2 linked regions of the Anolis sagrei genome follow. The protein of the gene in region 2 purifies or fractionates together with the protein of the main gene of each other region. This does not show direct contact. Links are inferred from orthologs where the notes say so. Each region holds a gene or a part of one and is shown on either strand. Other genes may lie near its edges.

Region 1 (7,684 bases), on a different chromosome or scaffold from region 2:
TTTTTGTGGAACAGCAGCTACAGTGGGTTGCTGTGAGTTTTCCGGGCTGCATGGCCATGTTCCAGAAGCATTCTCTCCTGACGTTTTGCCTGCATCTATGGCAGGCATCCTCAGAGGTTGTGAGCTTGTTGTGAGCTTTGTTGGAAACAAGGCAAGTGGGGTTTATATATCTGTGGAGTAATGTCCAGGGTGGGAGAAAAGAACTCTCATCTTATGGAGGCAAGTGTGCATGTTGCAATTGGCCACCTTGATTAGCACTGAATAGCCTTGGAATAGTCAGGAAAGAATGCTTCCGGAAACATGGACCTACAGCCTGGAAAACCCACAGCAACCCAGTGATCCCAGCCATGAAAGCCTTCGACATCACAGCAACTAAAGTGCTTGTTTAAAGGCGAAGTAAATGCATTTATACGTTGTAATATGTTGTAAGCCACTTTGGGTCCCGTGAGGGAGAAAAACAGGATATAAATAAAGATTTGTTGTTGTCGTTGTTATTTGGAAGAGTAAATGTTATAGAGATTGAGAATCCCTTGTTAGAAAATCCGAAATGCTCCAAACTCCAAAAACATCCCACGGGTGTCTTGAGTGACAGACACCTTTGCTTCTGGGTGCCTCGGGCATACCCAAACTTTGTTCCATGCACAAAAAATATTGTATAGAAAATTACCTCCATTTTAAAATACAAAACACTGCATAGAAAAGTAACTTCAGACTAAGTGCATATGTATGGAACAGCAATTAATTTCATGTTCAGGCTTTGGGTCCCACCTCCAAGATCTCTCAGCAGTCCAATGTTTCAAAATCCCCCCACCAAACAATTCCCAACCAAATATTAAGCATTCGAGTGACCTGCTCCAATACCACATCTATATAATGCCATAGCATATGCCAACTTGGAGCAACTTGGACTCTCCAGGGGTTTTGGACTCAAACTTCCACCATTCCTAACAGTCTCAGGCCCATTTCTTATCTCCACCTCAGCCGCTTAAGCACCCTAGACATTATTCCACAAATAGACAGATAGATAGATGATAAACCCCACTTGCTTAAGCGGCTGAGGGGGAAAAGGAAAGGGCCTGAGGCTGTTAGGAATTGTGGGAGTTGAAGTCCAAAACACACCAAGGGCCCAAACTGGCCCATGCCTGATATATATACTATGTGTGTATTCTATCTGTACACATGCAGAGACACACTAGTTTGGGGGATATTTTAGTATGTATCCCAATGGGTGAGTCATTATACTATAGAGTGAATGTAGCCCATGACTGATAATGTATGTACACTCCCTCTCTGTCTCTCTCTATACACACACGCGCGCACACACACAAACTAGTTTGGGGGTATTTTAGTATCACAATGGGTGACTGATTCTACACTGTAGAGTGAATGAAGCCCATGCCTTATATATATATACACACACACACCATATATATACTATACACACACACTAGTTGAGGGGCATTTTAGTAACCCAATGGGTGAATCATTCCACACTGTAGAGGCTGTATGGCCATCTGTCAGGGGTGCTTTGAATGCAATATTCCTGCTTCTAGGCACGGGGTTGGACTGGATGGCCCATGAGGTCTCTTCCAACTCTATGATTCTATGAATGCTGTCCATGCCTGATATTTATACTATATATATATCACACACACTAGTTTGGGTAATATATATATGCACACTACTTTGGGGGGTATTTTAGTATCCCAATGGGTGATACACACACATACTATACATATATACATATACACATACATACATATATATACATATAATATATATATATATATATATATATATATATATATATATATATATCTCACACTAGTTTGGGGGTATTTTAGTATCCCAATGGGTGATACACACACACACACACTAGTTGAGGGATATTTTAGTATCCCAATGGGTGAATCATTCTACACTGTGAATGCAGCTTGGGATCCCGGGAGTTGTAGTTTTCTCGGGGCACATCTACACCAGGCATGGTCCAACTTGGGCCCTCCCTCCAGGAGTTTTTGACTCCAACTCCCACCATTCCTAACAGCCTCAGGCCCCTTCCTTTTCCCCCTCGGCCGAGTCCAAAACTCCCTGGAGGGAGGACCCATAATGTTTCAAAGGGATTGAAGTTTCCAAGGTTCATGCGCGCTTATCCATTTCTACGGGAAGCATTGCCCGCACAATAATATTATGATCAGTCACCACCATCACCATCCCAGAGGTAAAGGGTAGTTAGGATATACGTTACATTATAGAGAAGACACGCGTGTTGGTGGGGAGAGCGGGGGCCACTTACGGGGTGCCGGCTTTGGGGGAACATGGCTGTGGGGGAAAGGCAGCTCCCCAAGTCCTCCTCCTCCTTCCGAAGTTTTCAGGCCCGAAGCGAAGCCCTGGCGCTCAGCCTCTGCGGCTCCGCATCCTCCCGGCGCCTTTGTTCCTTCCTTCCTTCCTTCAAGAGGGGAAAAGAGGCCCAGAGCGGGCTTCGAACCCGGAGAGAGCGAGACGCGGCCTTCCTTCCTTCTTTCCTTCTCTCTTGCCTTGCCTTCGGCTCCAACTTAACAAGCCAGGAAACGGGACGAAAAGCGAGGCTGTTTTGTTTTCTTTCTTTCCCCGAAGGAATCAAATATGGAGGATCTCCCAACACGGCTCCAAACCACCAAACAAAAGCCCCGCGCCGTCCAAGGCAAGGCCGAGGCCACACTGGGGTTATTATCCCAAAGCGAGGAGAGAAAGGCGCCGCAGCAGCAGCAGGAGCAGAAGCCGCCTCATCCCCGTCGGGCCGCTCCTCTCTCTCGTCTCCTTCTTCTTCTTTCCCTCAAGTTCGTTCCCTCGGAAACACACATCCAAAGCAAGGGAATCAGATACGAAATAGATCCGAAATAATAGAAAAGGACAAAAGGGGGGAGGGGAGGGAGGGAGGGAGAGCAAGAACTCCGCGGGACAACGCAACTCAATAAACGGCACCCAACGTCTCCTCCGCCCGCGCTGGTTACATTAACACGCGGTTTCACACTCCTCGAGCTAACCAGGCTCCTCGGCCCCGCCCCGAAAGCGGATCGCAGCCAATGGGGTGCTCGGGTACCAACGTGGGGCTGTGACGGGACACCAATGAGAGGGCCGCTTTGGCAACTCAACGCCGCCCCCTTCGCCCCGACTCTGTCCCCGCCCCTCCTCCTTTTCCGAGGAAGGCTTTCGAGGCTGAGCGAGGCTGAGCGGCAGGACCCCTCCGAGCGAGCCAATGGGAGGCGGTGGAACGCTCAGACAGGGGAAGGTCGGGGAGAAGGAGAGTGGCGAGGCGGAGGTGTCAATCAAAGTAACGTGGGGCAGTGAGAGAGAAAGAAGGAGAAGGAGAGAGAAAGAGATGACTATATGGGGCTCTCCTCCTCCTCCCCTCCACCTCCGCCCCGCTTTCTCTTTTATTATTATTATTCCTTTACCTTGCCCGGCTCCCTCTCTCTCTCTCTCTCTCGAAATCTGTGGAAATAACACAGGGAGATAAATAATGCATCCCTGGTCCAGGACAGGCAAGGGCTGGAGGAGCCAGGTGGAGGCTGCCCTGTTTAAGCGGATGGAAGGACGAAAGGAGGCAGAAGAGATTCCCCTTCCGTTTGTCAGAAGGAACCAGAGGGCCACCAAGAGGAATGAGGCCCCGTTTACATATATATCTCTCTCTGTGAACACATTTATATTTATAACGGCGGTCCAAGCAGTCATGCTGGCCACATGTCCTTGGAGGTGTCTATGGACAACGCAGGCTCTTCGGCTTAGAAATGGAGATGAGCAGCGCATCCCAGAGTCGGACATGACTGGACTTAATGTCAGGGGAATACCTTTACCTATACATTTATATATACTTTCATTATATATATATATATATATATATATATATATATATATATATAGTGGAGCAGGCAGGCCCGTAGCCAGGATTTCGTGGGGGGGGGGGGGGGGCTGAATTTTTTTCAGGCTGAGTCTGAGTGAAAGAGGGTCTACCCTAGCAAACCTTTTGTATCGTTACTTCAGTACCCCCATGCATATGGGATATATTGAGTATGGTGATCAGATCATGATATCAATAAACATAACAGTTTAAATAATGCACCAGTAAGGCCTTTTTGCGAACCACCATGAGAATTTCCGGGGGGGGGGGGGGGCTGAAGCCCCCTGAGGCCCCCCCCCCCCCCCCCACATGCCTGGGAGCAGGCATCCTCAAACTAATAATAATAATAACACTTTATTTGTACCCCACTACCATCTCCCCAAGGGACTCGGTGCGGCTTACATGAGGCCAAGCCCAAATACAACAATACAAGCAATAATAACAACAATACAAGCAATTAAAATAAAAAACATGGACAATACAATAATGCAACATTAACAATAAGACCACACGATTAAAAACGATGGGAAGGCCAAATGTAAAATTAAAATTGAAAATAATGCTGGAATATGGGCGCAAAAAGTGATGGGGCGTTTGTGGAAAACATACAAGCAGACCTAAAAAATATTAAGTGCTTTGGCGGACAAAGTGCAATGGGATCATTATTCTGGGGAGGCTCCTCCTAAAAACTGCGGCCCTCCAACTGTTTGAGCCTTCAACTCCCAGAATTCCTGATAATTGAACAAGCTCATTTGAGAACAGTTGCAGTAGAGTCTCGCTTATCCAACCTTCGCTCATCCAACGTTCTGTATTATCCCTTCGGGGGGATATAAATATAGGGTGGGGTATAAATATAGGAAATAAATAAATAAAACGCAGTCTGCCTCCCACCCGGATCCACCGCTGTTTCAAAACATTGCAATGTTTTGGTGCTAAATTTATAAATACAGCCATTACTCCATAATATTACCATATATTGAACTGCCTTTTCTGTCCATTTGTTGCAAAACATGATGTTTTGGTGCTTAAATTGTAAAATCTTGATGTAATTTGATGTTTAATAGGCATTTCCTTAATCCCTCCTTATTATCCAACGTTTTCGCTTATCCAGCGTTCAGCTGGTCCATTTACGTGGGATAAGCAAGACTCTACTGTATGTGCTGCTTTGCTTGAGGGTATCTTGTTGGAAATATATTCTTTTGGGTCTTCCAGGGCTGATTCAACTAATCCTTCATGAAAAGGTAGTACAGGTTGCTACTGTATTATTGTTGTTGCATTTTGGGTTTCTTTTTCTCTAGTCCTTTGCCACAGACTGGCAACCAATGTGTTGTGAACTAGGACTGGCTACTGACCACCACTTTAATCTTGTAATAATGATACTATAATAATGTACTCTACTGTACATACATATACACCAGGCATGGGCAAACTTCAGCCCTCCAGGTGTTTTGGACTTTGACTCCCACAATTCCTAACAGCAGGTCCAAAACATGTGGAGGGTTGAAGTTTGCCTATGTCTGATCTAACCTAACATCCCATATAATTATAATAATCATTATCATCACCATTTTATTACTTATCCACCTCTCCTCGTGGCTCAAGGTGGGCTACAACATAGCTAAAAACACATAATCATCACAAACATTATATAAAATACACATATTAAAATGTATTTCTGCAAAATGCCAATATTAAAAATACACAGAGCAGAGATTAAAATACAATGAACACAACACATGATTCAAACTATCCAGGTAGGAGTGTGTATGTGTATATGTGTATATGTGTGTGTGTGTGTGTGTGTGTGTAGAGAGAGAGAGAGAGTAAAGGTTTCCCCTTTACCCTTTGGAGTGGTGCGCATCTCCATTTCTAATCCGGAGAGCCAGAGTTGTCTGTAGACACCTCCAAGGTCATGTGGCTAGCATGACTGCATGGAGCACCATTACCTTCCTGCTGAAGTGGTACCTATTGATCTACTCACATTTGGATGTTTTAGAACTGCTAGGTTGGCAGAAGCTGGGCCTAATAGCGGGAGCTCATCCCGTCCTGAATTTGAACCACTGACTTTTTGGTCAGCAAGTTCTGCAGCTTAGCAGTTTAACCTGCTGCACCACCATAGCCCCTTCATACAGAATAGAAGGTCATAATTCAGAGATCATGCTTATTTCAGTAATAGCTAAATATTCTGCATAATAATAACTTTTAAATAGCTACATGAGCAATTGTTTGCTATTAAACAAAGGACTGATTGAAAGTGTTCACAGATCTAAGGATCACTGCAGCTGCTGGAGTCTTTTAAGAGTTCGTATGGATCTAAGGGAAAGAGAAGAAATCAGGTTGGCAGAAGCCGGGCCTAACAGCGAGAGCTCACCCTGCTCCCCAAATTCAAACAGCCAACCTTCTGGTCAGCAAGTTCAGCAGCTCAGTGGTTTAACCCACTGCGGCACCAGGGGGTCCATACACACATATATACATGTACACATAAACACACACACTCGTATTTATAATACAAATGCTCGCATACTCTCAGCTAACCAGTACTCTCAATCTGAACTTTTAAGCAAGTGACAAAAAATAGAAGAAATCACACTTTAAATAAACATTAAAATGCATGTATGTATGTATGTTACTGTAAAAGTGTGCTAACATTCAGTTTGTCTGTACTGTATTTGTCTTTCTTTCTTTCTTTGCTATATTTCAATATTAATATCGTCAACATAGAGTTTTCAGCAGTTGTATAGTATTAGGCCTATTTTTAAGATTGCAGCCAGACCACGATCTTTTACCAGGGAAGGCTAAATTGGCTGTATGGATCTTTTAATTAATGACCATTGCTATATTTTATTGATTCTATTGATCTTGTTATTTTTATATGTTTCGTTTTAAATGTGTTGCTGGTTTTAATTTTGCTATATTGTATTTTATATGTTGTATGGCACCATTGTGTGCTTGTAACCCATCGTGAGTCCCTTTTTGGGAGATGGTGGCAGGGAATAAATAAATAATTATTATTATTATTATTATTAACTCTGAAGAAACAAGAAACTACATTTCTCGAATATTCAGGCAGACGACCTCGTCAGAGATTCTTAACTAGTCCATGGCCTTGTTTTCTTTAAAAGGGATTATCTTTTAAAGGACTATCTTTTAAGGGATTAAAATTAAATCTCAGTGCAGACTGACTCATCCTTTGTAAGCTTCCCTGTCCAGGCGCTGTGTTGATCCTCCCACCCCTTGAAGAACTTGCAAAGGTAAACAAAGTCTTAGGGTGCGTCTATACTGTAGAATGAATGCATTTTGAGATAGAATGAATGCAGTTTAACACCATGTTAACTGCCATGGCTCGGTGCTGTGAAATCATGAGAGCTGTAGTTTTACAGGCATTTAGCCTTCTCTGCCAACAAGTGCTGGTACCTCACCAAACTACATATCCCAAGATTCCATAATACAAAGCCATGGCTGTTAAACTGCACTAATTATACAGTGTAGATAGGCCAGGGCAGGAATGACTCCAGAGCTCCCATTGTCCTTTGCCTGCAATGGGAATGCTGGGACTTGCACTCCAATCATTATTGGAATCCTGTCCTCCCCTTTCAGAGAAGATTTGCTATGGTGCCATCAAGCCACCACATTCCTGTCCCTGCACTTCATTAGGGCTTCAGAAGAGATTGTAAAAACAGTGTAGAAAACAACCTGAGGAGACATCCAGAAGAATCATTTCATAGTAAAAGGGCACCATGGGTAAAAATAAAGGTTTCTCCTTGACATTAAGTCTAGTCCTGTCAGACTCTGGGGGGTGGTGCTCAT
Region 2 (7,117 bases):
AATACGAGGGATTTGGTCTCCGTCTCCCGAGCAGATCTTTGCATGGAGCGTTTCCCCGTTGGGCCTTCTCAAGCCATCTATTTTAACTGGGTTGCTGTGAGTTTTCCGGGTTGTAATGGCATTCTCTCCTGACGTTTCGCCTACATCTATAGCAGGCATCCTCAGAGGTTGTGAGGTCTCTATGCACCCACTACATTGTCGTCTTTGTTGTGGTTAGAGTTTGTTGTCGAGTTTCCAAAAGACCTCACAACCTCTGAGGATGCCTGCCATAGATGTGGGCGAAACGTCAGAAGAGAATGCTTCTGGAACATGGCCATACAGCTCGGAAAACTCACAGCAACCTAGGGACTCTTGCCATGAAAGCGTTCGACAACACATCTATTTTAAAATTTCAATTTAAAGCCTTTAAAAAAAATTCTACAATGGCGGGGAAAGCATTGGCCTCTAAAGTCATTTGATGCTTTTTTTCCAACCAGTATTCTGGAAAATGCTTAGGAAATCCTGGATCGAGTGTGAGGCCCCGAAAGTGACGGCACAAACTGCAAAGCAGTGATGCGTATGGGCTTTCTTGTGTTCATTCCTCTTTTTGGTGGGAGTTTGAAAATAGCTACGAATGGCACTCAATGGTTAGTCTAAACGGGGCCCTAGTAAGCACAGCTTTGTCTAGAAGACGGTCTTCCCTTTTGCATCCCTTTTGCATCCTTTTTGCATCCCATGGGTCTCTTCTATGATACAGATCCTTCTTAAAAGAAGAATAAATGCATAACAAGGGCGTGTGGACGCTACCTCTCAACCGAGCCCTGAGACCCGGGCCATCGTGATAAACTTGGGAGGAAATAAAACAGGTTGAAAAGGGCAAAACTGATCCTATATCCTAGAATAACAAGGCAGAAAATCCCACATTATCTGAGTTTGGACTTTGGGGCCTTCCACACAGCCCTATATCCCAGAATAACAAGGCAGGAATTCCCATCAGATAACCCAGTTCAAAGCAGATATTGTGGGATTTTTCTGCCTCGATATTCTGGGAGATAGGGCTGCGTGGAAGTGCCCTTGGACACTCTCTAATCCAGGGAAGAAGCAGGATGGGCAGATGGCGGAGTGGCCTTGTTGTTTCTTCTTTGGGGCTCCCCCTTTTCAAATCAACACCCCACAGGTCTCCTCGGGGGCAAAAGGAACTTGTACCCCCGCCCCCCACCGGTGACAAGGACAGGACTCAAAGACAGGGAGGGAGCGGGAAGGGCCAAGCAAGCAGGGCGCCGGGAAGGGGGAGGCCTGGCTCGGTTTCTCCATGGGGGCTGGAGGCGAAGGGGCGAAGCGAGCAGGGCAAGGAAGGGAAGGGGGAGGCGAGGGGCGAGGCGGGTTTTCTCCGAGGAGGGATTCTTACCGGAGGACGGTCGGTCTGAATACCTCGTGCAGTAAACCCAGGCCGGCCAAACCAGCGGCTGCTTCCCGTCGCCCTTGGCCCCCACGGCGGACCCTCCATTACTGGAGCCCATGAGCAGGATGGCCGGGTTGGCGTGCTCCCCATAGTTCGCCGGGTGAGGTCCGCTGCCTTCCGAGCAGCAGGAGGAGGAGGAGGAAGAGGAGGAGGAGGAGGAAGAGGAGGAGGAAGAGGAGGAGGAGGAGGAAGGGGGCTTGGCGGTGGGGCTGGCTTTGGAGGCGGCGGTGGAGCCGATGGCTGAGGGGCCCGTCTCTGACTCCGTGCTAAGGAGCACCGAGGAGGAGGAGGAGGAGGAAGAGGAGGAGGCCGGGTTGGGGGTCCTGCCCCCCAGCAGTGGGTTGACGTTTTCTCTACCTGAGCTGCCCGCGCGGTCTAGGTCTCTCTCCCGGCCTCCTCCTCCTCCTCCTCCACTTCCTCCTCCTCCTCCTCCTCCAGAGAGGATCAAGAGCTGCTGCTGCTGCTCCTTCTTGCAGCCAAAGTCCGGCCTCAGGATGTTGTCGATGAAGAAGTTGGTGGTGCGTTGTGGCGGAGGAGGAGGAGGCGGCGGCGGCGGACGTTGTTGCGCTTGGAGGGCATGCTGGTGGTGCTGGTGGTGGTGGTGATGGTGGTGGGGATGATGATGGGCCACCGAGACGAGGCAGGGCGCGGCGGCGGGAGACAAGGGCGGGTGGCCGCTTCCCGTGCTGCTGGGAGAGACCGGGAGGCTTTCCCCATCGCTGCTGCTGGTGCTGCCGGCGGTACTGGTGTTGCTGGTGGCGCTGCTGGTGGTAGTGGTGGTGGTGGGAGCAGGCTCTCGCTGGCTTTTAGGGTCCGCCTGCTCTTCCATAGTCAGCCGCCACCTCCGCCGGAAAGCGCCAGGCTTGGCTCTGTCTCTCTCTCTCTTTCTCTCTCTCTCTGTGTTTCTGTTTTCTTCCCTCCTTCTCCGGACGGCAGTGGTGCTGATTTCTTCTTCCCCTTGCTTCCAATTCAATTGTAAGCTTCTTCTTCAGGGAAAACAAAAACAAAAGCACCGCCCGAGTGTCCAAGGCAAAACCAAATCCACTTGTTGGCTCGGAGCAGGGGGTCTAGAGAGAGAGATCCATTTGGAGCGATTCGCCCCCTTTTTTTGCAGTTATATTTCTCTCTCTCTCTCGCTCTCTCTCTCTGGGCTCCCCCTTTCTCCCCAAAAAAGGGAGGGGGGCTAAAAGAGGGGAAGCAAAGACCACCAGCACCCCTCAAAACCCCGCCCCCTCCCCCAAAGTCTTCCTCACCATCGACCCATCCTCTGGCGGGGCTTTCCCCCAAGTGTCAGGCTCGGCTTTGCCCGCGGAGGAGGAGGAGGAGGATTTAATCGCCGGATCGCACGTGCATTCCGTATTTTTAATCCTTCTTGTTTTTCCTCCTCCCTTCCTCTTCTACCTTCTCTCCTTCCTCAGCCCCTGAATCTACACCCCGCCTTCAATCTTTCCTTCCTTCTGCGCTTCGCCTTAATATATATTTATATTATATATATAAATAAAGGCAAACCCCCCCCGCGCGCCAAAAAAAAAATCTCTGACAGCTCCGATCTTGCCACAAACTCTCCCTAAAAAAATCGCTCAGCCACACTTTTTTTCCTTTCCAACCGGAAGCACGTGAGGATGGCCCGCACGTGGAAAGGGCCAATCAGGAGCAGGGGAATTCTGTGACGCCCCTGACGTCAGCCAATAAGCTGCCTCGGAACTTTGCAGATAGATTAGCCGAGGGGTTTGGCTAATTCCGAGAGAAAGAGAAGGAGAGGTTTCTAATACTCTCCCTTTGGCGCATCCTTTGCTCAACACACACTCTCTCTCTCTCTCTCTCTCGCCTTTGCCTTCTTGCCGAGGGAAGATCTTTGCATTTGAAGCTCTTCTTCCCCAATCAAGGAAAATAAAAATATGTCCAATCAACGCCATAAAGAACTTTTCCAAACTCCGAGAGAGAACTTGTATGTATGCTTGTGTGACTTCTGTGCATAATAATAATAATAATAATAATAATCACATCTAATAGAAGCCTTCCTCTTTCCCCTCCTCCTCCTCCTCATTCATTGCAAAATGCTACAACTAAAGTTTTTATACTTAAGGAAAAATATATCCTTGGGGATATAGGGCGGTTTATAAATAAATTATTATTATTATTATTATTATTATTATTATGTGCCTTTATGTGAAGCAAAACATATTCTTGGGGAGACAGGGAGGGTTATAAATAAAATATTATTATTTCTTCTATTATTATTATTATTATTATTAAGTGTCTTTATGTGAAGCAAAACATATTATTGGGGAGATAGGGAGGGTTATAAATAAAGTACTATTATCATTAAGTTTCCATATTTGAAGAAAAATCTATCCTTGGGGAGGTAGGGAGAGTTATAAATAAATTATTATTATTATTATTATTATTATTATTATTATTAAGTTTCTATATATGAAGCAAAACATATCCTTGGGGAGATTGGGAGAATTATAAATAAAGTATTGTTGTTGTTGTTAAGTTTCCATATTTGAAGAAAAATATATCCTTGGGGAGATAGGGAGGGTTATAAATTATTATTATTATTATTATTATTATTATTATTCTAAAGTGTCTATATTTGAAGAAAGATATATCTTTGGGGAGATAGGGCCGGTTGTAAATAAAGTTGTTGTTGTTGTTGTTGTTGTTGTTGTTGTTGTTAAACCAGCGGTGAGCTCTTTCTAGACCCAATGCGTGACATTCCTTTGTGAGTTTAATGGTTGCTCAAAGCCCAAAGACTACATTATATACCTAGGCATATGTGGACCTTAGAGGAAGCCCCTTTGAAACCAGAGGAAGAAAGGTATGGAGGAGTATGGGCAAAAAGAGATCTCAAGCTGGCTTGTGACAAGTCTATGCACTCACTAAAAGCCCGAATTTCCCAGTTCGACTGGTTTTCAAACGAGGAAATGTATCCGAGAGCATTGGGCAGTGTTTTGAGCTTTACATTGCAGCTCTGGCGGCCAAGGTTTGAATCCCCCTCGACTATGGAAACCCACTGGGCAAGTCACACTCTCTCGGCCTCAGAGGAAGGCCTGAACACATCTCGCCAGAGCAAAACCTACGAGAGGACCGCCATAAGTTAGAACGGACTTCAGGGCACATCGCAAGAATTGCCTGGGTTCCTCTGAGCTGACAGTTCGCCAACACAGCCTTGACCACTGAGTCGTTCACTGGGTTCTTCGCTCAGCACACTAGAGAATGAATCCACTCAAAACCCGGTTTCTGCTTCCTGCAGAATTCTGGGGTTTGTAGCTTAGTGAGGCTGTTAAAATCTACTTCCCTGAACTACAAACCTCAGAATTCTGCAGGAAGCAGAAACCAGATTTAAAGTGGATTCATTCTCTAGTGTGAAAGGTTCTTGTCGTTTCCTTGCCTGCCATTGAAAACAATCGGCATGGAGCCCGTTTCGTTTTGTCGTGCTCCCTCTGCAACGCCTGGGGTGAATACCAAGCCTCGGCTCTTTCCAAGAGCGGCAGCCCTTCTCTTCCATTCGATTTAATACCTGAACAGGTGAGCTTGGAAGGAGCCCGCGAATCCTTTGCAGGGGAAGGACCTATTTAATAACATTCTCCCCCAAACCTCGGTCACCAAACCCAACGAGGATGAACTGAGGACTTTAGGCGACGCTGAGCGACTAGCACCCAAACCTCTCGCCCTCCAAAACCCCGCAAACCCAGAATCAAAACTAATAATCACACCAATCCGGACCATCCTAGAGTGAGTTTATTCAGATTCTAAAACAAGCTAGATCTGCTGTTGTTTCTTGGCGGCGCAGAGTTCTGCAACAAGGCATTCACCTTGAAGGCTGGTACCGCTCTTCTTCTCTCTTTTCCCTCTTCTTTTTTGTCTTCCAAGGCGGCGGAAACGGTTCCTTCTGCAAAAAATACTCTTTTTTTTGTACGGATCGCCTCCAAGACGGGTATTTTGTCTTTCTTTTTCCCCTTCTGTTTATGTTCCAAAGAGGCTATTTCTTGGAACCTGGAGGATATTCTTCCTTTTTGAAAGGCTCACCGTGCACTGTTTGCAAAGGCCACGGCGAACATCACACCGTTCAGGAAGATCGCAACTGGGTTGCTTGTGAGTTTTCCAGACTGTACGGCCATGTTCCAGAAGCATTCTCTTCTGACGTTTCGTCCACATTTATGGCAGACATGCTCCACTCTCTGCGAGGATGGATGGGGTGGTTTTTCCTTTCTTTCTGTTTTCACAGGCGTCACACTCTTCGCCGAAGCGCCGGGGTGGCGATTTATGAGCCTGAGTGGCTCCTTTCCCAAGGCCTCCACGCCGGTTGCAGGGGTCCATAAACACTCGTGGGTGGAAGAGGAAAGCCCCTCCGAAGCTGTTTGCCTGGTGGAAGAGGAAGAGGAGGGGGAGAGGAAAACCTCTGCACCACGTGACCGGCTTAATAGCCCCCCCCCCTTCCTTCCTAGTTTAGAAATTGATTTGTAATTGACAATTCGGGCCCTTTCCATTTTGTGCTTCTTGCGCCTGTTCTGCTATTGAAGGCGGGATAAAGAAGGAAACAAAGAAAGACGGAGGAATTGCCAACATTTTTAGACATTTTTTCTTGGGCCCTTCCACATAGCCCTATATCCCAGAATATCAAGGTAGAAAATACCACATTTTCTGAATGTGGACTCAGAAAACCCAGTTCAAAGCAGATATTGTGGGTTTTTCTGCCTTGATATTCTGAGATAGAAGGCTGTGTGGAAAGGCACCCAGAATATCAAGGCAGAAAAGTCCACAATAGCTGCTTTGAACTGTGTTATCTGAGTCCACACTCAGGTAATGTGGGTTTTTCTGCCTTGATATGCTGGGATATAGGGCTGTGTGGAAGGGCCCCTTGGGATCCCAAGAAAGGTTTCCTTCGCACATTAAAAAAGTCTTAGTAGACTTATTTCAGGAATAGCTGCGAAGGGACCAGTTTCAAAAATAACTATCAAACCGATATATGTACATTATATCTCAGGCTCCTTCAACACAGCTGAATAAAATCCCACATTACCTGCTTGGAACTGAAATATATGGCAGTGTGGACTCAGAGACCTCAGTGCAAAGCAGATATTGTGGGATTTTCTTCTCTGATATTCTGAGTTATGTGGTTATATGGAAGGGCCCAGATTCACGCACCCAATGTCCAAACTCCTCTAGTTTAGTACCCTCCCACTTAGATCCTAAAACTGGGGTTTAGTTATATTTTAGTTCACATTCAAAACCACTGCAAAACCATGTCTGTTTCATTTTAAGTAGGCATATATCTGAGGGCCCTTCCATACAGTCCTATATCCCAGAATATCAAGGCAGAAAATCCCACAATATCTGCTTTGAACTTGGATATCTGAGTCCACACTCAGATAATGTGGGATTTTCTGCCCTGATATTCTGGGATAGAGGATAGCGTGGAAGGGCCCTGAGTGTTCAACATCTGACCGTGCTTACATTCTTCTCATTTAATTCCTCTTCTCTAAAAATACAAATAAAATACAAATAAAACCCCAAACTGGGTTTTATTTGTATTTTAGTTCACCCAGGCCCCTTCCACACAGCTGCATAAAATCTCACATGATCTCTTTTAAACTGGGATCTATGACAGTACTGTGGGATTTTCTGCCTTAATATTCTGGGTTATATGGCTGTGTGGAGGGGCTCTCA

The links.
Region 1: the proteins of EN1 (region 2) and transducin-like enhancer protein 1 purify together in Homo sapiens (affinity purification with western blotting; 4 studies listed by BioGRID and IntAct, with this or other methods). This does not show direct contact. The link is inferred for Anolis sagrei from reciprocal best matches to the Homo sapiens genes EN1 and TLE1.

Annotation. Positions count from the first base shown.
Region 1 is NC_090022.1:227,808,702-227,816,385, forward strand, and holds the start of transducin-like enhancer protein 1, read right to left. Parts: upstream 3,018-7,684; 5' UTR 2,318-3,017; coding exon 2,246-2,317; intron 1-2,245. UniProt on the Homo sapiens protein: Transcriptional corepressor that binds to a number of transcription factors. Inhibits NF-kappa-B-regulated gene expression. Inhibits the transcriptional activation mediated by FOXA2, and by CTNNB1 and TCF family members in Wnt signaling.
Region 2 is NC_090021.1:218,099,189-218,106,305, forward strand, and holds the start of EN1 (homeobox protein engrailed-1), read right to left. Parts: upstream 3,020-7,117; 5' UTR 2,271-3,019; coding exon 1,388-2,270; intron 1-1,387. UniProt on the Homo sapiens protein: Required for proper formation of the apical ectodermal ridge and correct dorsal-ventral patterning in the limb.